Drosophila melanogaster: one gene and its partner. The protein of the gene in region 2 interacts with the protein of the main gene of each other region in a pairwise test. Each region holds a gene or a part of one and is shown on either strand. Other genes may lie near its edges. The genes, in order: DNaseII and Rrp47.

The links.
Region 1: the proteins of Rrp47 (region 2) and DNaseII interact in a two-hybrid assay, tested with the Drosophila melanogaster proteins (one large-scale study listed by BioGRID).

What each region holds. Positions count from the first base shown.
Region 1 is NT_033777.3:18,012,666-18,024,172, reverse strand, and holds DNaseII (deoxyribonuclease II), read right to left. Parts: upstream 4,799-11,507; 5' UTR 4,761-4,798; coding exon 4,657-4,760; intron 4,098-4,656; coding exon 3,101-4,097; 3' UTR 3,012-3,100; downstream 1-3,011. Other genes in the region: CG7794 (uncharacterized protein), read right to left, coding at 1-80, 139-364; CG7785 (uncharacterized protein), read right to left, coding at 1,346-1,443, 1,501-2,067, 2,354-2,459.
Region 2 is NC_004354.4:15,942,621-15,954,109, reverse strand, and holds Rrp47 (ribosomal RNA processing 47), read right to left. Parts: upstream 9,214-11,489; 5' UTR 9,055-9,213; coding exon 8,782-9,054; intron 8,714-8,781; coding exon 8,507-8,713; 3' UTR 7,861-8,506; downstream 1-7,860. Other genes in the region: mmd (mind-meld), read left to right, coding at 176-237, 2,174-2,960, 4,234-4,590, 5,116-5,743; CG8924 (uncharacterized protein), read right to left, coding at 10,055-10,760, 10,820-11,489.

The DNA of each region.
Region 1 (11,507 bases), on a different chromosome or scaffold from region 2:
GTTACTGCCACTGTCATCCTTGCCCGTGATCAAAGTATCCGGATGAAAGAGGTTGCGGTAGGAGCCGGTACGGATTTCATCTGGAAAGGAAGATAAAAAATTTATATGACACAATCCAAGCTTCTGGCGGAAACTTACCTATCACTGTGGGCTCCGTGTCGATCATGACGAGTCGAGGTTGCACACACGGCTGATGGCTGGTGAACTCAAAGAACGTGAGGAACGAGTCGTCCATGGGCGACTGGGTTAGTCTTCCATTGGCCAAAATGCCGTGCTCCAGACAGAAGAGCTCCCAACAGGCGTTGGCTATCTGCACACCGGCCTGGCCAATGTGGATCTGGATGATCTCCCCCTTTCCGGACATGTGTCATATCTTAATTTTAACCATTAATTTCCTTTCTCTGGGAATGTAGTTTTCCAAAATGTTCTAAAATCAAATCGAATTGACAATCTAAACAAGGAAAACTTGCTACACAACGGATTAAGTACATAACATTGATTTATTGTCCGCGCGCGGATTAATCAGTTTTCGAAGCGTTGGATACGTGTAGATACAATTTATTAGATATACAGATATATTCTTATATTTAGTTAGGTAATTCCGTGCTCGAGTACGTTGCCGTTGTAAATTGGAATGTGTACGATGAAGTCAGAATTGAATTGTGGCCACCTAGTCCTACAAAAAAATTCATCTGTATCTGTATGCAGATACGCGTATCTCTGTGTATAATACAAATGCTACGTCAAGCTACGTAAATAATTTACAAAACATTAATAAAATTATACAAATACTTTCGGTTTGGATAGTGCAAGGACTAGAGAGTTTACAAAGTTTATACACCTGATGTCTAAATGAGAACAGAACAGTGCATTTTACGACTATAAGTAAATATGTGGTGAAAATCAACAAAATCGATTAAGATATGTGTACAAAGTAAATTGAAATAATTTAATAGCTGTTTTGGTTGTGAGATAGAATTCAGCTTGGGAACTTTTCTTTTTGACTAGAGAAGAAATATGGCAAAGGAATAACTAAAACTAAAACTAAAATGTGTAAATAATTTGTTTTATACTGAAAGTTCGCATTTTAAAACTTAATCTAGAATGCATATTTAAAATGTCATTCTTGTAACTTAACTTTTACATTAAATAAATAAAGTGTTACTAGACAATAATGTATTTCATTTTTTTTAAAGGTAGTTGTCCGCATTGGCAGAGAAAGTGCCACAAAAATTACTTGAATGAAATGCGTTCCTAAAGTCCTAAAATGCACCGTCTTTTAGTTATTCTTGTTAATGCTTTGTTCTCATGCTGCTAATTTGTTCAAGGCTTTTGTGTGGACTATCTAAAGAAGTGACTGTTCCAATAGAATGCGTTCGAATCCTGGTGGTGGTCCGTGTGAAAAATTATCCAAGATAATGTCCAGAATGGCGCCATTGCCCACTAAAAAAATTAGGTTAATTATGGTGATAAGCTTCTCTTAAGAGTACGAAAACTCACCATAAATGACGGGAAATAGTGCTGCTCCTCGTACATTTCGAAATGGAACCTCCAGATTCTTTCCATTGAAGTAGAAATTCAGCTCCACGTGGTCAAAGGCGACGCCCACAATGTCTCCTTCATCGGGAAAATCTCGCTGTGGCGATGCTATCAACGAATCACCGATATCCACATCGGATGATGCCACTCCAGTGGTCATCAGCAGATCTTCCTGCTGCAAATCCTCGATGGCAATGAGTCCGGCCGCTTTGGCAGCGCTATTGTTCAGGATACCATTGCTCGTCCTCGCTGGCTGAGTGGTGCAAGCAGACTGCACCACTGGTCGGAACTCCTCGCGGTCATTGTGGCGTGTGGCATTATCGGAGCACAGGCACCAGGACTCTCGATCCCCGCCGCCGCTCTTGCGACTGAGATCCGTTTGACGCGTTGCCAAGCCCACCGACCAGCTGCCGCCGTGCTGGATCTTCACCTCGAAGTAGGACTTCGATTGGACCAAAGGCGCCGTGGCCAGGACGCCGCCAGTGCCCGTTACGCGCAGTTGGTGTGACAGCAGGATTACATCAGGTCCTGCCAAATGGATGATATGATATACATATTATTAGTAAGATACAAGATGGTTAAGCCTGTTGAATGAGAATATAAGCACTTCTATTGTATGTACATATATATTAATATCTGATCACGTATCTGAATTGTGCGATAAAATTGGGAATGTTGATATCTTTATTGGGGTATCACTTATTATCGAAGCTACATATCTTTTGGAAAAACACATTAGTTCTCTCGCAATCGCTTCAGTTGACCATTTTAAGGATAGTGTATCTTAATCCTTCTGAATTTAGTGTAATTTTACCCATATGCGCTGCATCCAGGTGAACATCGGGCTCCCGCAGGCGACTGGTTGCCGTCGGTTTCCTTATGTGTCCACCATTGAGACAGGTGCGTAGGCAGCAGAACATTCCCAAATCTATGAAGGTTTTCCGACTCCGAATCTAGTTTTAATTTGGATTTTTAAAAATCGCCAATAATTTTCGCTTCTTCGCTTGGTTTTGTTTTTGTAAACAGCTGTGCTCTTTTTCCAGCTGATGGTCATACTGAATTTGCATTTTCTGGTATATGTGATAATAATGGGTAGAAGAGTGACGGATAGGTGGCGCTATAAATGAATAATTAGATGCAACCAAATGCAATTGACACATTTGTAAATAATTTATACATGTTTGTTGATATTTCAATGTTTTTTTTTTTTGGCAAATAGTTTAGCAACAGCTATAGAATTAAGAAAAGTTTAAGTACGAGCGCCACCTAGTTTTCAATGCGCTTTTTAGTACCTAAAATGTACGACAAGAGTGCGTTGAAGAAATGGCGCTAGCGAGTGTCCGGAAAAGAGCAGAAAGAAAAAGAAAAGAAGTTGCACGGCGCCTTAAATTTAAAATTTAAATTATTATATATTATCTATAACAAATGCAAATAAGTTCTTTGTATAAATAATACCTCTTTTCAACATCTTTCAATTTTCTTATGCATTAAATGTAATGCAAAAATGGTGTTTATTTAATTGTTGACGCAACTTTACAAATAGTCTTAGTTAGTTCAGATTCTATTCCTGTTGGGCGCACTTGTCGTAGTTGGTGACCAGTTGGCGGTACAGATTGGATACCCTGGCGCTCTTGTGGCACACGGTTCCACCACCACGATGCAACTGACCTTCTTGCCGGTTGATGTCGCCCACACAAATCCAATCTCCGCCGCCAACTCGCCAATGGTAGATCAAAATGCCTGTGGGACGAGATACCGCCCACTTGGAGTGATCTTGTGTGGTCTTAAAGTCCACCGATAGCTCCGGATTGGAAATGGATTCCACATTGAGAACCTTATCGGACTTATCGCAGCTATTCGGTAAGTTGCCGGCACCGTCGCGCCACGCCTCCACAAAAAGACTGACATCCAGAGTGGGTGCGACCACATCGGCGTACAGCTCCACATTGGCGCGTCCACTCTTGCCAAACAGCCGGAACTTCTTGCCGTCCAAGCTGCGCACCTCCAAGTCCTTCTGGAACGGTGATTCCGTCCGCCACTGACCATGCAGAGCCCTTTCCAGGCTCGGGAACAGCTCATCGGAGCGAGTGGCCAGCGGGTTGCGTTGATAGTAGAAGTGCGGTTCATTGTACACCAGAATCTGACCAACCTTCTCCAAATCCTCGCCCTTCAGTGTGACGCAGAGCATGCTCTGTGCGTACTGCTCGCCGGATGTGGGATAGCTGTAGTCCGGAATTGTTGGAAATTTGGGCACCGAGTGGACAATCCAAATAGCCGTCTCCCCATCACTGGCCACCACTCCTTTGGCATGACCACCGCTGCTGAAAACCGTGCCATTCGGCTGTTGATCGTTGTAGGCGGCCAGCAGAGTGTGGCTGGGATCGTCGTTCAAGGGGTTAAGGGTCTGGGCAGGCAGCGATAGGGGATCACTAATGAACTTTCCCGACATCTGCCAGGTGTCATAGTTCTGGCTGGTCACGTACAGGTACTTCAAGCCACTGGTGTCCTTGCCCAAATCGTTGTGCTGGTAGTGCTTGGGCAGTTTGTAAAGGTGCCACCTAAAATTATAAAGGAATATTTGAAAAAAAATTATTAAATAAATTAAAAACATGTTTATCTCATCGAGAAAACCCCTCAATCTTTGGAAATTTGTTTTTAAGATATTAAAAAAAAAAAATAATTACCATTTAATCTATTTTTGGAAATGGAAAAGTATTAAAAATGATGTTATTGTTATCAAATTGATTAAGTTTGTTTGTAGCAAACAACTTTGATTTAAATCTCTCATTTTAGGAAACAAAATAACACACTAATTACTTTTTAATTTCTTGTCACACAGTATTGTACAATTATTATCAATTTTTCCGCTTGAACTTGAACTCATCATATTCAATTTGTTTATCGCCTCTTTTAGAATAATCTCAATACAGCAGTGTATATAAATAACTAAAATACGTTGTGTTTGCAAATTGTTAATGATATGCAAACAGCGACTGCAGATAAATGAAAAAGTATGTGAAAGGCCAATATTTATAAGTAACTTTTCTAATAAGCACATTTAGTAATGTTTTAAGAACTAAACTATTTATTGTTTGATCTGTTAATCGAAATACTTACCAATCTACATCGTTTCCAGCTTCATCCTTACAGGAAACCTTAGACTTAGCTTCGTTTTGGTAGAAAAACCAAACGAACAGCAAAACGAAGCACAGAGATCGCATTGTACAACCTTCAAGTTGCTCGGCCGGAAAACAACTAAATAAGTGTCAGTGAATCCAATCCAATCAACGGCTGTGCTCATACAGGGTGTCTCAGTCGCAAATTGAAATCCATCTTAATCTTTTTCGATTTCTTCACCAGGTAAAAACGCTTGAATCGAGTGAAAACTGAGATCCTTGCTGTTTGTCTGTTTTATCTAAAAGTTGGATTTGTAAATATTTGGTCGTGTTTGGGTTTTTAACACAGCCTATCGCCACGTTGTCTGCTATCTGAGGGGTCAGCCACTTATTGCAAAAGATCAGTCGAACAGAGAGGTCGCTGATAAGCCAAGCGCACTAAATGCGGCTACAACGAATATATTATACTCTACTAAATATGTTTGACTTCATTTTTATGGATATTATAAGAAACTACTAAGAATCTTGTCCAATCTGTAACATATTATAAATACTTACCCATTTCACCATCATCACATAAACATCCCATTCATCCCACTGGCGGTGAAAAGAACTCCACTTCTTTACAATTACACAAAACAATTGTTAAAGTTTTTATTTATTATTCGTATTGTATTATTATAATTTGTCGCCTGCTGAAAACTGCAATTTGTTGCTCTTTTCCCCGTTTGCATTGCAGGGCATATCGTTTGTGCTTTCCTCCTCGATCGTGATCGCATGAAAATATTATCGTTATCAAATTGTATAATTTGTCTTGCGGGCGGGCGAGCCCATCTGCTAATATTGAATTATATTGGAAATAAACTGTCTGGTAAATTAATTGAATTCAACTTCGTTAGTTCTTATCGCTGGTGGCTGTCTGTGAAAAAATGGTTCACCTTTCATTCTGTTTCGAATTTCCTCTGATCTGCTTTGATCCGATCTGATATGATATTATCAGATGATATTATGTTTTTTTTTCTTTTTGTTTTGCCAATCGGTTGGTATTGCCATTTAGATTTATATTTAACTTAGGTGTACCGATTTGTTATGTCATTTCTTTGGTTTCGTATGCAACAATACATTTAAACTCACAATACAATATTTTCGCTAAATATTTTTTATGTATTTTTTTTTTTTGTATCAATTTTTTCATAGTTGTTAATAATTTATTAATATTTTGTATGGTTTTTCATTTTTTTGGTTTTTCAAATATATATATAAAGAACAAGGCTGATATTTATATTTATATATATATATATACGAGTTTTGTTTCTGTTTTATGTAAGTTTTATAATAATATTTAGCTATACGTTTTGGTTTTCATTTGCTTGAAAAATCAATTTGTTTTTTACAATATTAGCAAAGATCTTTATTCGATTTGAAAAAAGAAGGTCGTACTTGGTTTCGCGAAAATGTTAAATAAATGAGCCTCAAAATAGACAAATACTTGCCATTTCTTGTATTTTTTTTTTTTTACTTTTAATATCTCAATTAATATTAATCATTATTTTCGTATTATTTACGGATAAAAGTAGACTCAACTGTTGAGTTATGCAAATAAAATTGCATTTCCCGTTAGACTTTCGGCATATTTAATAATTTTATCATTCTCCTTCTTTGTTATTTTTGAAATTTGCTGCGCCTAATTTGCGCCTGCTTTTCATTAATATATATATATATATATATATATATATATAGTGTATATATATGTGTATATATAGTTTTAATCGGGCACGAGTTTGATATGTTTTGACTTGTGTTATCTTCATTTATCTGCCGGTATTTCGATACCTTTCTCTGCCTTGATATTTTCAATATTCAATATCAGTTACCTTTCCTACTTAACCCTCTAAAGATACTATACATATGTCTGTCTGTATAAGATATAGATATGCATAGTATTTAAGTATTACAAATATACAGCGATTTTCTCAGACCTACCAGGTTGAGTACAATGCCATTCTAGTTGACTCTCCCGCAAATGACTCAAAACTTGAAATGGGGAGAGCGATGCATATATGTGGTATTAATATATGTAATTGTATAGTTGGTTTTAATTTTCTTGCAAAAATTGTCACTAATTCAAAATTCGTTTCTTCAAAGGTTTATCGCTTGGTTGTGTGAGATTTGGAACTGAGTGAAACAATAATGGGTTTGTTTAACGAACAAAATATAAAGTTTTATTATGCGTAATTAATACCGTCAATTGAAAAGTTCTAAGTTAAGGCTACACAAATGATATAAGTATATTTATATAAGGGTTTATCATAGAGGTATACCATACATATACATATAAATTACTTAGAAATTAGTATTAAATTGTTGGTAATTTAAATTTTTAGTTTTATTTTTTTTTTTAGGCAAACATAAGGCAATTTCGGAGGCAACTTAAACTAAATAGAAATCAATCAATCAAAGATTTTCGATACACAAATTATAGCCGTACAATAAATACAATAGAGTAGGATATATACTGTTACTGATTTTTATCGTTATTTTTACTGTTACTTTTACTGTCTTGCTATTACTGCTGCCACATATGTATTTAGATATGACATTACTAGGTAAGCATATAGCTAGGCATTATGTAAGTAGTTCCGTAATCTATTACTAAGCTTTCAATCAGTTATGCTTGCTTCCCCCTTAATTTTTTTTTTTTGGTAACTGCTTTCTGCCTTTTTGCGCTTACAATGTTTAAAAATTTAAAAACCACATCAAAACATATCGGTTTTATGTTCCTTAATAATGTTGCTTGTAAAAGTTTTCTTCTTTATCCGTTTTGCTGATATGTATTTGTTATTTTTTCCATCATTTGTAATTATTATTAGGTTTTCGTTTTGTTTCAAAAATGTTTTAATATATGCGTATGTATATATTCATATAATGTTCCCATAATTCATATTGTTTAGTTTAGTTTTTCTGTCATTCATTTTAGCATTCTCTAGTTTATCCCTAACGAGCTAGGTTTTCATCTTCTGTTGTGTTTTCGAGATATTCCCAATTTTTAGTTTAATATTTGCATGCTGCAGATATGTAAAATCTGGATGTATATAGAGCTATGAAATTTAGCTTAAAGAATGTTTGGAAATCAAGCCTCAAAATGGTTTTTTTTTCTATTTGGGGGTGGGGACTGAACAACCTTGCCAACGCGCTGGTTTTCCCTCTTCTTATCGCTTACTATCTTCAATGAAAATTGCACAAGATTTTCCCAGATGCACACACGCACACACACGCACACACACTTTTGCACACTCACACACTTATGCGTACTTCCATTGCTTTTGTTGCATACTTTTGGGCTCGTCGACCACACTTAGGCGCTAAAAATTAATTTCGAAAATATTTGTTTCGTACTTTAGCATCTATCGATTTTTGTTTCGTTATTTATGCTTATTTATAGTTGTAAATATTTTTGTTTTCCATCGTCGGGCATTTTGTTTTTCTTAATTGTTTTGAAAGGCGCAATTTAATGATATGCATTAGTATATTATGTATAATTAAACATTTTTCCTTGCTTACACGCTAAAACTTTAACTAATTTACTTGTCTTTGTGGTGAGCGTGTGCGTGCGTGTGTGTGTGTGTGTGTATGTTAGGATTACAGACTTATATGTAGACCTCTGTTCTTAACTCCGAATGATGATGCCTCTTAAACCAACGCGATGCTGGCGAAGAGATGATGTTTTTTTTTTTTTTTGGGCAAGAGGAAAGCACGAAATGTAATTGGACGGAATATGCATTTTACATTCGACTAAAGTTAGACGGGGAAATAATGTAATTAAATATTTAAAGAAAATTTGTATGGAAAAAGGGCTAAAACAGTACCAATTAGTAAATGTTTCTCTTTTTGTTTCATATTTCCTTCTAACAACTGTGGTTTTTGTTTCAAATATGCCTTTGGTATGTCTAGTCACGTTTACACTAAACTAAGCTTTAAAAAACGTTTAAAATTAGTTGATTTACTCGTGGGTTCCTTCTGTTTTTGTTTAACAAATTGTGTGTGAATTGGTTAACATAACTTGTTTAATTAGTAAGGACAACTTTGGTAAAAATGTAAGATTTTATCCGTATATATATATATACTTATATTGGTTTAAACAAGGCTGAACGAACTCTTTCGAAAACCATTCGAAAATTATGATGTAAAAAGCTTGCTTACAATTTGTTTTCGTATTTAACTATATATAGTTGTTAGCCTTTAAGCTTTACATTGTTTTTATAATAATTAATTATAGTTGGTTTCTGCTGTTCTGCTGCTCTTGCATTTAGTTACAATAGAATTTGTCGCTTTTTGTAGTCACACATACATGCTCGACTTATGCTTTGCTACGTAAGATGATATGCCATTGATTTTATTTACTCGTCCTTGTTTGCTGTTACCTCTTAAGCACTCTCCCCACCCTCACACGGTATCCGATATTCGATACCTACGCATACGATCTCGTTCTGCGACCTCCCCTCCCCCACCCCATTAAATCGATCGTTGGTTTAGCAAGAAATGTGATTTGATTGTTCTAGCATTTCGAAAGTTGGTTAGGAATAAAGTTTCTCACTATGTAAATGAAGTCCTGCAGATTTGGGGGCCTCTAGTAAAAGTTCAAGTCTTTGTAGGGGAAACGCAGAAAAGTCTCAACCAAAAGTGGCGAAAGAAAACATAGAGTTCTGGGCGGAAAGTTTTGGAGTGTCCTGTGCCAGCAGTTTCAGCATTTCTGGTTTCTTGTTTCTTAAAAATCGGTTTTTTTCTCGAGTCTTTGCTTCACTACAGCGCACGTGCAACGTTCATCCCATGTCGTCGATAGGTCCTTATCGGGTAAATTTGAAATTCACATTTAAATTTTGTTATGCTTACGTTTGTAACAAATAAATTTCGAAACCAGCTTTCTTCAGTATTCCTCAATATAAATTTAAATTTATACGATGACGTCGACTACTCGTTGTGGTTTGTTTTGTAGAATTTTCTTGTTGAGTAACATTTTGAAAATTTACCTTACTAGTTATACAATTATTACATTAATGCATACATTTAAATTGTTTTCTTTTGGTTGTTTTTTTTTTTCTGTTTCATATTACTTTTTTATAATTCTAGAAAGAGAGCTATTTAAAGGGCACATTCGGTTAAGCTATAATTATATACTTTTCTTTCTCCCTACACTTTTTGTTCATAATTTATTCCCTTACGCTGTTTGATATATCGAAAAATTAGAAATTATGAGATTAATACGAATTTCATGTCTCAATTCCTTGTGTGAAAAGTCGTTTATGTTTGGGGGGGGGGGGGGGGTTTTGAATGTAGGGTAAGAAGTAACAATAAAAGAACGCAAACATTTCACAAACAAAAACTTCAAACAAAATCAATTTATCAAGCTACAAAAGAACATTAAATGGATATTGAATAACAAACAAATTCTCGATCAGCTTGCTATATATATATGCATGTATATATAGGTGTTTATGTATGTATATATGTGTATTCGTTTATAGGGGGCATATCGGCTGTATTTGCAACTAACTTAGTTAAGTAGTTCGCTCAGCTTTCGATCTATGGTAAATTGTATATTTTACTACAAGTTTATCCCGTTTTTTGGTTTTCACTACAAATCTTTTGTTGCCTGTCGAAAAATTTCACTAAACTGGGGTTATACACGGGTCTGCGGCAGCTGCTTCCTCTCCGTCATATATATATATAAATTAACTTCTTTTTGCATTTTTGTTTTGTTTTTAGTTTTTTTTTTTTGATTTTTCAACATTTTTTTTTCTGTTATTTTTGTATGCCTAGAACTAAAGGTTCTTACTTCTCGCATGAATCCGTTGCATGCGGAGCTTCTTTGCCTCGATTTTCTCAAACTCAAATGTGGCCACCTCAGGCCGCTATGTGACTGACTGCCGGCAGCACGTACGAGTAGATGTGGTGCGGCTGCAGCTGCTGCTGCTGTTGGTGGTGCGGCTGGTGGAGCTGATGTGGGTGGTGGTGCGGCGGCGTCGTAGTCGTCGTCGTCGTTGTCGCATAAGGTCAGGTTGCTGTCGGCGTCATCAAGAACTGCTGCTGATGGTGATGATGGTGGTGGTGGTGGTGGCTCAGGTGCTGCTGCTGTGCCTGCTGTTGCTGTTGCTGCTGCTGTTGCTGTTGTTGCTGCTGGTGGTGCTGCTGTTGCTGCTGCTGGTGGTGCGCTGTCTGGTGGCTGTGGTGGTAGTGCTGCGCTGCTGTGTGGTGGTGCTGCTGCTGCTGCTGTTGCTGCTGCGTCTGGTGATGCACTTGCGTCTGCTGTTGCTGCATTTCGCGCTCTAGCTTTTTAGCGAGCAAATCATGCCGTGATTCCATACCCGCTCCTCTGGAAATAATTTGCAAAGTGTGAGGCACAATTAGTTTTTGTCAGTGTAAGTGGTCCAACTACTGGTTTCGTTGGTGCTGGCTATTTAAGTGGTTGTTTGGGAACTACTCATGCGTGGACCTAAAATATTTTAAAATCACTTTTTATGGCTTCTAACTTTCTATTTATTTTGATTTTTTAGGGTAAATATTCAAGACTAAAGAACATAAAATAACTAAAAAATTCAAAAAATATATCAATTTAATTTAGATATAGACTTTGATAGAAAGTTAAAATAAAATCTAGTCAAATACTTTGATCTATATATAATATCGTAAAGTTCATTCAGGCAAGAAAATCTTCACTTTAACGCTCTGTTATTAAAAATTAAATAAATTGTTGGACTTTCCATTGGCTAGTAATAATATTTATGGCAGCTCGGGCATGCTCACCCCTCGATATGCAAATTGATTTTCAAACAACCTACAATAAAGTAAAGTACA
Region 2 (11,489 bases):
ACTGCCAATATATATCATTGGGCTAAGATCTTCTTATTAAAGATTGTACCATTTGATAAAACTATTTGAAAGCTGCTGGCTGATTCATCGTTTAGCATCGCCGCAAGTAGCTCGGTTCCTCTTTACCAACCGATCTTATGATATGCCCCAATTTCATTATTATTATCCTTCACAGGGACAAGGGAATCCATGGACGACGCTACACGACATGTGGCGAGGACGATCAGTCACATGCAGGTTAATACATTATGTTTACAATTATTACATAACTTGTGCTTAGATTAGATTCACAAACAAAGTGGCTAAGGGGTGTCACCGAAACCTCTCAGATTCGAATTTCGACTAAAAGTCCCAAAACGGTGTCACAGAAATCGAAAATATAATATAATATACAATAATATATACAAATGCAATATATATTCCATTTAAAAATACAACTGTACAGATCTCTGAAACACCAAAGGATTTTTAAGAGGTTTTCTATTTCTCTTGAGATTTCAGTGAAATCCCTGATTTTGACTTTTTTGTAATCGTATTTTAGGGGAGGTTCTCGTTCTATGGCCTCGAAAAGTTTTCATTTTCCAAAAAACAATATTCTAAATCTTGTAGGGGACACATTAGGTATTAAAGCAACATTTCTTACACATATTCATGGAAATTAGGGATAACATCAGTTCTTGCACATGATACAGTGAACGGGAATTTCCCCCCTAAAAACTAAGTAATCGTATATTAATGAAAGAACGGTTTGCAATAAATTTGTGTTCCTTTGTGTTTCCCGCTTAACAGTTTAGATGCCTTCCATGTTAACGAGCTAAATTTGAATAGACTAACTCTTGATTAATCGTTTAATGCTTGTACTCTTCAGAGCTTCTATTATTGCAGTTACTGTTTGACATTAATACTCTATTGAATAGCAATCATAAGTTTATTTTCAGCAAACATATATGTTGTTTATCTATACATACGTACACATTCCCAGCAAGCTTCTTATGCCCTTTTTAAGCGACCCGAGTTTTCATCTTTGTTTTTGTCGGAGCTTTAGTGAGAAAAATTAGTCAACTATTTGTGGGCTTCCTCAAGAATCTTAAGCTTAATTCAATTCATTCTATATGTATAATCTTTGTCAAAGAGGTTTTTAAAAACCCTTCCGACCCTATTGTATTTATATATGGGATCAGAATCAACATCCAAGTCGATCTTGTTAAGTATCTTATTGAAATTATCTAAAAAGGGCTGAAAAGCATTGTCTACATATCTTTTGTGTTGGCATTTTAATACCCTGTTTTGATATTTACGTTAATAAAGATATAATTATAGTAACTTTAACATTATTCAAAGGGCATTTTATTTATTTACTTTATGTTCTTTTGATGTCAACGGAACACAACCCATCGAAAGCTTATGTTCAATAATTACTTTTTAAATATTACTTTGAAGAATATGTACAAAGTACATAATAACTTTTCCGACCCTTCTTTATGTACATATATATATTCTTGATCAGCATCTGTCCGTATAAAAACCAGCCTGTTCGTCCGTATAAACGCCGAAAGCTAGGCAACAAAGTATGAAAGTGTTAGGATTTCAAATGTTAATATCACTGTTTGTTTTTTAAAGATATTATAAAATTATAGTTTTAAAGAAAACTAGTAGCTTTTGATCAGTATTATTGTTTACCCCCTTTTCAATTCTGAAAAATAGTTACCCAAAGCATATTTGACCTATTTTTATGTAACTTTGCATCGACTCGCATGATAATGGTGATCAGTAATATATAAACTTAATAGGGTTTACTACAACGAACACGCACACAACACACACACACACACACACACAATTGACCAAGAATCGGGAATCTTTTTGCAAAGCGACAAAGACTATTCACAAGTATAAACTAATTGCTCTATGGAAATTGCATAAGAAATTAGCCAAACGAACAGAGTTCAAGTGAATAACTACAATACATACAATATGTACATGTGTAGGTACACATTTCTTGTGCAAATTAAGTATACGTACGTATATACACATAAGACAAACCCACTATAATCGCTGTTTTGCAGTCACGCGCCTATTCTCTACCTGAAAAATTTGTACTATATTCCCTTTACATGCACATTGGAACTAAATACTAACGACAAACCTAATGCATTATTATTGGCTGCCACAGAGAAGGGTATATTAAAGAAGCACGGCTACGGTCTGGTGCACGGTGAGCAGCTAAAAGACAAATGGGGCGATGACAATCAGTCCGATAACCTCGAGCTTATTACCCAAGACGGCACCCTGGCGTCGACGAGCGGCGGTGCGGCTGCCTCCGAGGTGGAGCGGACGCTTAAATCCCTTAATGGGTATCATGAGGACATTTTGGAGGCGCTACGGAATGCGGCCACGCATCGGGGAACCGGAACCGGAAACACGCCCGTCGGCAGCGGCAGCCTGAGCGAGGAGATGCTGCGCAAGACGCTGCAGGACTGCAACAATTCCCAGCTGGGCTATTCGGCGGAGCAGTACAAGCGTAACATTGGTTCCAAGTCCAGTTCGCGTGAGAACATCTGCGACAATGCCGCCGTCCATGCGATCATCCTCGATGGCAGCGGCGGCGGACTCGGCGGCATGGGACTGGGCTCGAGCGTGGGAGCCGGCGGCGGATCGACATCCATGTCGGGTGGCATGCCGGGCCATGGCGGCACCATGCTGCACCATCATCGATCCCAGCATCAATTGCATCAGCCGTCGACGGTGGCGCTGCAGCCGCAGCAGCTGGATGACGATGATGCACCGTCGACGGGACCACTGCGTATACGCAATCTGGAGGACCTGATCAGGCAGCTAGAGCACCACTCGTCCCGTCACATGAGTCCCAGCGGATCCGAGGATATACGAATGTCGGAAACAGAGGCCGATCGACACTATAGATTAGAAAGTTCCGCGGCTTGTAGTGAGTCATCTCAAGGGTTAGTGTTATTTTCTGCTTCAGAACTTAATCACCGTAAACCTCTTTAAGTATTGGCACCGAGTCAGTCAGACACCCGAAAAGCCTGTCCTGTTCTCTTCTCTTCTCTTCTGTTCTGTTCTGTCTTGTCTCGTCCTGTCTTGTATTGTCTTGTCCTTGTCTTGTCCTTGTCTCGTCCACATCAAACAATCGATCGAACCAATCGAACTAATCGAGCAATCGAGATATTAAAATATCGAGAAATCGCACATTCGCTTTAAACACACTTCAACATATAAAATGACTAACTGCTGTGACTATGAATATATAATTCATAATTTCTTAGATGTTTTTAACACCTACTATCTGTATTGCGCTTTGTAACATGGTAATGAACGTAGGCAGTGAACAGTTGCTTCCCATTAACCAACCGTATTCTTAATAGTCAACGCGTTTTAAGTTTCCAATAGTCAATCTATGTGATACCAAAATTTCCAATTTACCCACTACTAAACTAAATCGTAGAGCAAGTGATTAATAACCCAATATAATATATTCGATGGCTTGAGAGTATCTCCACATGTTCATACAAACAACTAACCGAAGACTAAAGCCTCATATACTCATCAAAAAGCATATATAAACCACTCATGATGTTATTTTAAAATCGAAAACTACTGACCTAACCTACTACCATTAAGGCATGAAAGCCACTGCTTGTTTGTAACTGCAGTATATTAAAATGTAATTCAAGCCAATGCCAATTTATATTCGCATTTCTTGCAGGCTTCAGGCTGGAATACCTTGTGTGATAAAGGTTGGTTGCCCCTCTAACTAGCTAACTTATGTAACTTACTACCATCTTGATCTTGTGATCTTATTTCTTAAGGGTCTTGACTTCACATCGTTTTCCTATTTACTATTACGTAATCACTTGCACATCTCTTTTTAAACAACAACAACAACAACGACAACAACTAAAACAACAACAACAACAACAACAATTTGCATTGTAATAGATGCGTTTGACATTGCTCTTAAGTTCTCCTCATGGCTATCGGTCTCTGTTTTGGTCTCGGTTTCAGGCTCAGTCCAAATCTCGTTTGCCTATCGTTTCTACATAGCAGAACCATAATAATTCAATAAATTTCCAAAAAAAAAAAAAAAAAAAAAAAAAAAAAAAAAAAAAAAATCCCAAGTCCCAAGTCCGAAAAGCAGCAAATCCATAAACTCCCATGCCACTGAATAATTTGATTATTTGCTTGCCTTTTTTTTCTTATCCTTATCGCCTATAGCTCCAATCAGCAAATACCACAATCTCAGAAAACCGCTACAATTCATGCGTCTTACAGCAGAAGCTGTCGTCCCCGTTCCGATGAGGAGTCCCGATTCACATTCGGTGGACGCTACCGACAGCCGGCATCATCTGGACGCCATGCGCCGCACCAGTCGCACTCACCCCACGCATTCGGACATCATACGCACCACTCCCATGCCCATGGACATGCCACGCACGGTCCACACTCGTCCCATCACTCATCGCACACCCATTTGCAGCAGGAGGACGAGGGCATCTACGAGACCGCTGACCACCACGAACGCCAGGTGGTCGACGCTCGACTCGACTGCCACGAGACACCAGATAGCGAGAGGTAGGTTTGAGTCACTATTACTGTCTCTTGGTTCCATTGCCAGGCCATAATCCACTATCCTGACCACGTAAACGATGCAGCCAGCTGAGCGATCACATATTTGATATGATATGATATGATAAGATATAATATATAATGTTCAGAGAACCCTTCAGTTCAGGAGCTCTTCCATTTGAACCAAGACGATCTGCTGCTGATGCATCGTTTATTACCAGCTCAGCAGTTTGTAGCATTTGATTTATGCCCACATATGATGATCCTCCACACCCACAGTTTCCCCAACCCAATTGGCCTGTAACTTCTAGTTTATGGATAGTTTCCCATTGATTGATTGTTTAGATGTGTAATTCAAATTGAATAGCTCGATTGAGAACTAGACGTAGCATGTGACCATACCATTTATCCATCTAGACCAATTCCAATTCCGATTCCGATTCCAATCCCAATCCGAATCCGCTTCCTCGATGGCCCCCGTTTGATTTCTTACCATGTGCCGTTGTTCCTGCTACGATTATTATTTTCTAGTGATGACTTTATTCAAGCTCAACAACAGTTAGCCCGGTGGGCGAGTGAGGATGTGGTATCCGTCGTGGTATTGGACCAGCCGCCATCCGGTACAATGTCGGATTCCCAACCATACATCGACGTCGGACCCATTTCGGGGGCTATAGCTCAGCAGCAGCATCCGCATCAGCAGCAGCAGCAGCAGCAGCAGCAGCAGCATCCGCATCAGCACCACGGCGATCATCATCAATCCTCCGCAGCGGCAGCGGGATCGGGATCGGGAGTGGCAGCGGCGACATCGGTGGCCAACAGTTCTATAATGGCTTTGCCAATCGTCCCAAATGGTATAAGTGTAAGTCAGAGGGACTACTATCCATCCCCGCCCTCAACGGAAACGGAAAGCAGTGGAAGTGTTATCCAGCCGCCCATTCGTCGCGGTTTGCAATCGGCGGCAGCAGCAGCAGCGGCGGCAGACACGGCGGCACTAAGTCAGCATCAGCAGCAATTGCAGCTCCTTCAGCTGCCAATTTATCAGCAGCATCCGCATCAGCATCATCATCCGCAGCAATCAGGCGATACCAGCAGCAGCAACAACAGTCAGTCCGAACAAATCATCGAGAATGGCTGCTACCCGGAATATAAGCATTGATATTGTTATCTATATGATAGAGAAGATCATCCTCATGGTCCATATGATCCATGCGATCCATGCGATCCATGCGGTCCATACTGCATCAGAAATCGCGCATAGATCAACAATCAGCCACGCCCACTCCACTCACATGTGCCCGGAGCCAGCGCGCAGCTAGCTTTCTCTCTAAATAAATGAAATTTGTATCGACCTTTATGATTACTTTAGCATAGTTACCAATACGTTGCTCGTGTATAAGCACATAAATAAATGAATTTAGCCCTAAGTAGTTAAGTAAATAAATGTAAATGTGAAGACAGCAGACAAAAACCAAAACAAAACAAACTAGTTAACGTAAAATGGAGCGGAGTAAAAGTTAGCACACAAATTGAAGCGAGATGGAAATGGGAAACTGGAAAATGGGAAAATGGAAAATGGAAAATGGGAAAATGGAAATGAATATGGAAAAACAAACTTAACAAGCAACAAAAATGTGTATTCTTATGTGTGAGTGGTAAATAAATAGCCATACTTTATTCATAGATTAATAACAATTATTAAGTGAGTGCATCCCAATTTATATTCATAATCGTATAATGATACGTATAATGATGAGAGACAACAAAAACCGAAAAATGAAAGCAAAAGCTAACCAAAACCAAAACCGAAAACAACAGCAACCGCATTAACGAAATAAATAATTAAAAATTGGGAAATATTTACATATTTTTTGCATACCTCGGACCAAGCAATGGAATGCCAATGTTCGAGTAGGAAAATCTTTCAAAAAAAATAAAATAAAATACAAAACAAACCAAAAAACAAAAAACAATGACCGTAAACAGAAAACCACAAAAAAGAATAAATAACAAAACCAAAAAGACAAAAATAAAAATAAACACAAAACGCAGCTGTAAATATGAAAATTAATATTTATGCTAGTTAGTAAATTATACGATCCTTTGCTGGACGTGTAGAGAACTTGAACATTTCGATGGTCACGGATAAGCGGCAGGAAAAATACAATTGTGCACTGGGCCCAGCCCGGGCTTTAAAAAACCCCCTTATTGGGGCAATCTTACACCGACTGATAGAAAATTTTGGGCTATATTGCCAGTTCTCGTTCAATAATCTTAAAAAATGGAAAAAACCAAAAAACCAAAAAACCAAAAAACGAAAAAAAAAACCAAATGGAATGAATAACAAAAACGCTATATACATAAAAAATAATTAAAGTAATTCAAGAAAACGTGAAAACATGAAAGCGGAGAAAAAATAAATCGGAAATATTAATATCTGTATGGTTAAAGTATGAATATGATCAACATAAAGTTAAGGACAATGCTAATGTTAATTTATCGGTTTTGAAACATCAGTAATATATCGTATTGTACCGTAAATTAAGCCATTTAGAATGAAACGTACGAATTAAAATTATTTTCCAGCTTTACAACATCCATTTGTCTTCATTAGGGTGACCAGGGCTTTCTTCTATGCTGAGTTTAAAAATATTTCGCAGCAATGATTCCCAGAATCGCACGTCGATTCCAACCATTGTTGGACCACTGCATCCGTTTCTCATCTCCTTCGCTACTTGTCAAATGTCTCTGAAAACCAGGATCACAAATATATAAGGTAATATACATAAGGTAAAAAGTAACTTTCAGAAATAGAGCACTAGCTGAGTAAAGGGTATCTGATAGACGGGGAACTCGACTATAGCATTCTCTCTTGTTAATATTGATTTATTAATCAACTATATCCTAATTTAAAAGAGGCATTAAAGAAATTTAAAAAAATATATATACATATGTATATAGTATCTTGTTTAAGTGCTGGATAATAAGTAGGCGATATTTTAACATTGTTCCTATGCAATACTATTTTTAATTAGTCAATGATTTGAACTTTGATCTTCTTCAATACTATTTTTGACATTTACACTCAATGTGCTCCAGAAACGACACCTTTAGGATTTGCTCCAAACATTTTTTTTTTTTTTTTTTGTTTTTGTATATATCATTTGGAAAGCCGAGTCCCAACAATAAAATCTTAATCTATGAGGTAAGCAGCAGTATCAGATTTTGAAGCACCTTTTGGCGATAGAATCTATACCGTCTTGACTTGACTGATCAAGGGCATGACAAAGGATGGGGCAAGGAGCTAGACGAACGAACGGTACGCAGGAGCTTTTTATACAATAAAGGCGAGGAATCCTGCGGGTGGGACGCCTCGCAGATTTGCTGTAGTCTTCGAAAGGGCGAAGGGTCCAGCACCTCGGAAAGTTGTGCCTCTCCAACTGGCCTTATCCACAGGAAGGAATTGTCGTCGAAAAGGTACATATAATCATTTTTGTCCTGCATGCACAAAAAATTGGCGATAAACATTGGGGGAAGACGTTGTTACGACGCGGTCTTGGAATCTAGGAAGCCCAGAATAAATGGCAGAATGCTGCCATATTCATACAAATAATTCTGATTTCATTTTTCTTCGTTTTCATTTTTACCTAGATTAGTTTATTCATATACAGAACGTTGTTGATATTCATTTAAAAAACAAACAGTTTCAGTTTGTAAACCCAGTTTCATTAAGGTGTACTAACTTGACTTCTTTGATGAGTCGATTGCTTGTGACGCTTGTGTTTTGGATGGTTCAGTAAGAAAATATCGTGTTTTCTATACATTTTTTAATACAACTGTCATTGTCTAGCGTAACGACGAAACAAAGGCAAATGATCCTTTTAGGCTGCTATACTATAGAATCAACACTTTGTGATTTTAATTATTTGGGAGTTTCTTGCTTGCTTTTATTATATTGTTTTTCGGAGACCATAACTCCGTTCATGTCCACAAATCGTGTGTGGGTTCCAGCTGCGATAAATCGCTTGGCAGCGGGCATATCCAGTCTTGGCGCCGCTAGAGCATCGTTTATTTTCTTATCGCGGGCAAGTAGGTCCCTTGTACGACGCAAATCGTGCATCACAGCATGCTGAAATGGAATCATTAAATGATAATTGTCGCCATGTGAATTGTGTATTGTGTATATATTGCACTCACATTTGAGGCATCTTCACCCTGCAGTTTCAGGTATATGAAAAACAGTGTGCTGTTCAAGTACACAAGGTAGCTATCCAATTTTATTTGTTCATTTGTGTTCAATGTGCGTTCTGCCTGTAGCGCCAGTGCCTTCTCCGTGTCGGCTTCCAGGAGTTCGATGCTGCTGTAAAAGGTTTTCAGGATGTGTTGCATGTTTTCGTCCTCTCGCAGGCTTGTGTCCAGGTAAGCGTTGCAGGGCAGTCCATTGTCGACAGCTTGATTTTCTTGAGCCATGTTCTTTAAATGGAATTAAAATCGCGTGCGAATGTTTATATCTGGCTTAGGCTTACAGTGTGACCGTTGATTGAACATGAAAAGAAATAGATTCTATGAGAAGTATTCAAAAAGCGCCGTTTCCACTTCAACATTCTGCGCCTGCACTGTGCTAATCTACATACATATGTACAAATATAAAAAAAAAATGATTGACAGTAACAGTACAAATTTCAAATAATAAATTTAGCAAAAAAAAAATTGTTGTTACTTTGAATGCATTTAAACTTTTATTGCCCAATCATCTCGTACACAGTACTTATGTATTTAATAATACTTTCACAACGTAATTTATTATTGGGATTCTTGCATTTATGGCCAATTGTTATAATGACCAAAAAAAATAAGCAAACAAACAAACCGAGTAATTGTAAGCAAGTATTGAAGATTTGCGTATTCTTGTAGGAAAAGTACATGGTTTTAAAATAGATCGGATGTATTTGACCAATAATAATTACTTTACATTATTATTTAGTTTAAGCTGTTAGCATTATGATTATGTCTTTTACGACCTTCGAGTTTATTATAAATTTTCATCTTATCTTTGCAATCACACGAATACCCAGTAAAAGTTTCCAGGTCGATTTTATTTATCTTATTAACAATACAGTAATTCCTTAAAGTACTGGGGCGACAAGAAACATAATTGAAATTTTTACGCAAGTTTTTAGTCATAATCCTTGTTGATAGCATACATCTACTGTAATTTCTTATGATTGCCAAAGTAAAATGAATAATGATTGAACGGCAAGAGTTTTTCAACCAAGGATAAAACTGTGGCATCTCCAAAGCGTAATTAAGTAAACCTATGTATAAATTGTATTTTGTTGACTATGTTATGACTAAAGATCCCACACGAGCCGATGCGTACCCCGAAATGAAAGAAAGCAGCTACTGCTTGGAAATCCCTCTCTATTAATACACGCCCTACTAGTACAGCACAACTTGGCAAATTGCGTGGTTAGATCATGTGCAGCTTCTGATCGTTGAGTTTGAATGCCGCCGCATCGCTATGGAGGTGAAAAGGCACAATATCACCTGTTGTGGCCATATCAAATGATGGTGACATAGACGTTGCCGTTGCAGTTGCCGGACTATTGCTGCCACTGGTATTTGCGATGCCCGCCTTGAGATGTAGGCTGTCCATGGACATTTGCTGAGACTGCGTGTGAGGAAGGGGATTGGTGTGGATATGCGGATGGGCTGGGGGATGAGTTATGCTCGCTGGGACGGTTGAGAGTTTTCCTGAGTTTGTTGTGATTATTATGTTTCCGGCATGGGAAGCACCACGTCCACGTTTCCGCTTCGGAAGAATTCCTTTTCGCGCCATATAGAAACGAATGGTTGAGACAGGAATATTGAACATATTGCTGACAGTTTGGAATGTCTCGCCCTTCGAAACACATTTGGCCGCTTGTGCTAGAGATGCTTCTGAACGTCGAACGCGCTTATATGAAGTATAACCATCGATCGAGCTATGGCTCAGTCCTCCGGAAGTATTGGCCGATGTATCGAGATCAGTGTCAAGGCTGAGGGATAGCCCGGATCCGCATGGCACTCCTGTCGCAAAACTGCTGTCATTGTTTTCATCATGAGCGGCCACATAGTTGTGGTCGTCCTCAACATTTGAATCCAAGTATTGCTGCTGCTGAAGCTGCATTTGCATCCTGTGAAAAGATATATATATTTATCCAGAGATACTTGTCATATTAATGCAAAAACAAACCTCGCCTGCTGCAGGGATAGGTGGACATTCATTTTGTTGTCAACGGCTTGCGCAGATATATTGCAATCATCGAATTGCTCCCCGTAGGCATTCCAATTGTTCGGCACCTCGTCGCCGGAGTCATCCTCGGTTGGTGCATTCGAGTGGCTGCCCAAAACGTTCGTAGAGGTGGCCTTAGATGGCTGTTGAGCATTACTGCCATTTATCTGGGGTCGCTGCTGCACCTGCTGCTGCTGCTGCTGTTGCTGCTGCTGCCGAGCATCGGGATTCTGGCGCTTCAATACTGTGGGTTGCTGATGGTTAACCGGTAGCGGTGGAGCGGAGGAGGTGGTCATTGTTGTTGAGGTGGTTGAATTAGTGGCTGCATCGTCCGTTTCCGCGCTGTCCACATGCTTGAAGCTTCGCGCTGTGGTTGCAGCTGGATCCTTAGCAGCCTCGAGACTCGCCTGCTGGAGTTTCTTGTAGTTTATCGGTGCCTCAGAGCCGTATAGACCGCGAATCTGCAGTTGTTCGGCACAGCGAAGCAACTGGCCAAGACCGGCTTGCGTGACATTGACCTCTCCCTTGTACATGAAGTCCACAAGCGCCTGGATCTCCCATAGCTTGATCTCCCTGGGCAATATGATGACCGGGTGCTTGCAAGGATGCTCCGCTAGTATTGCCTCAAAGT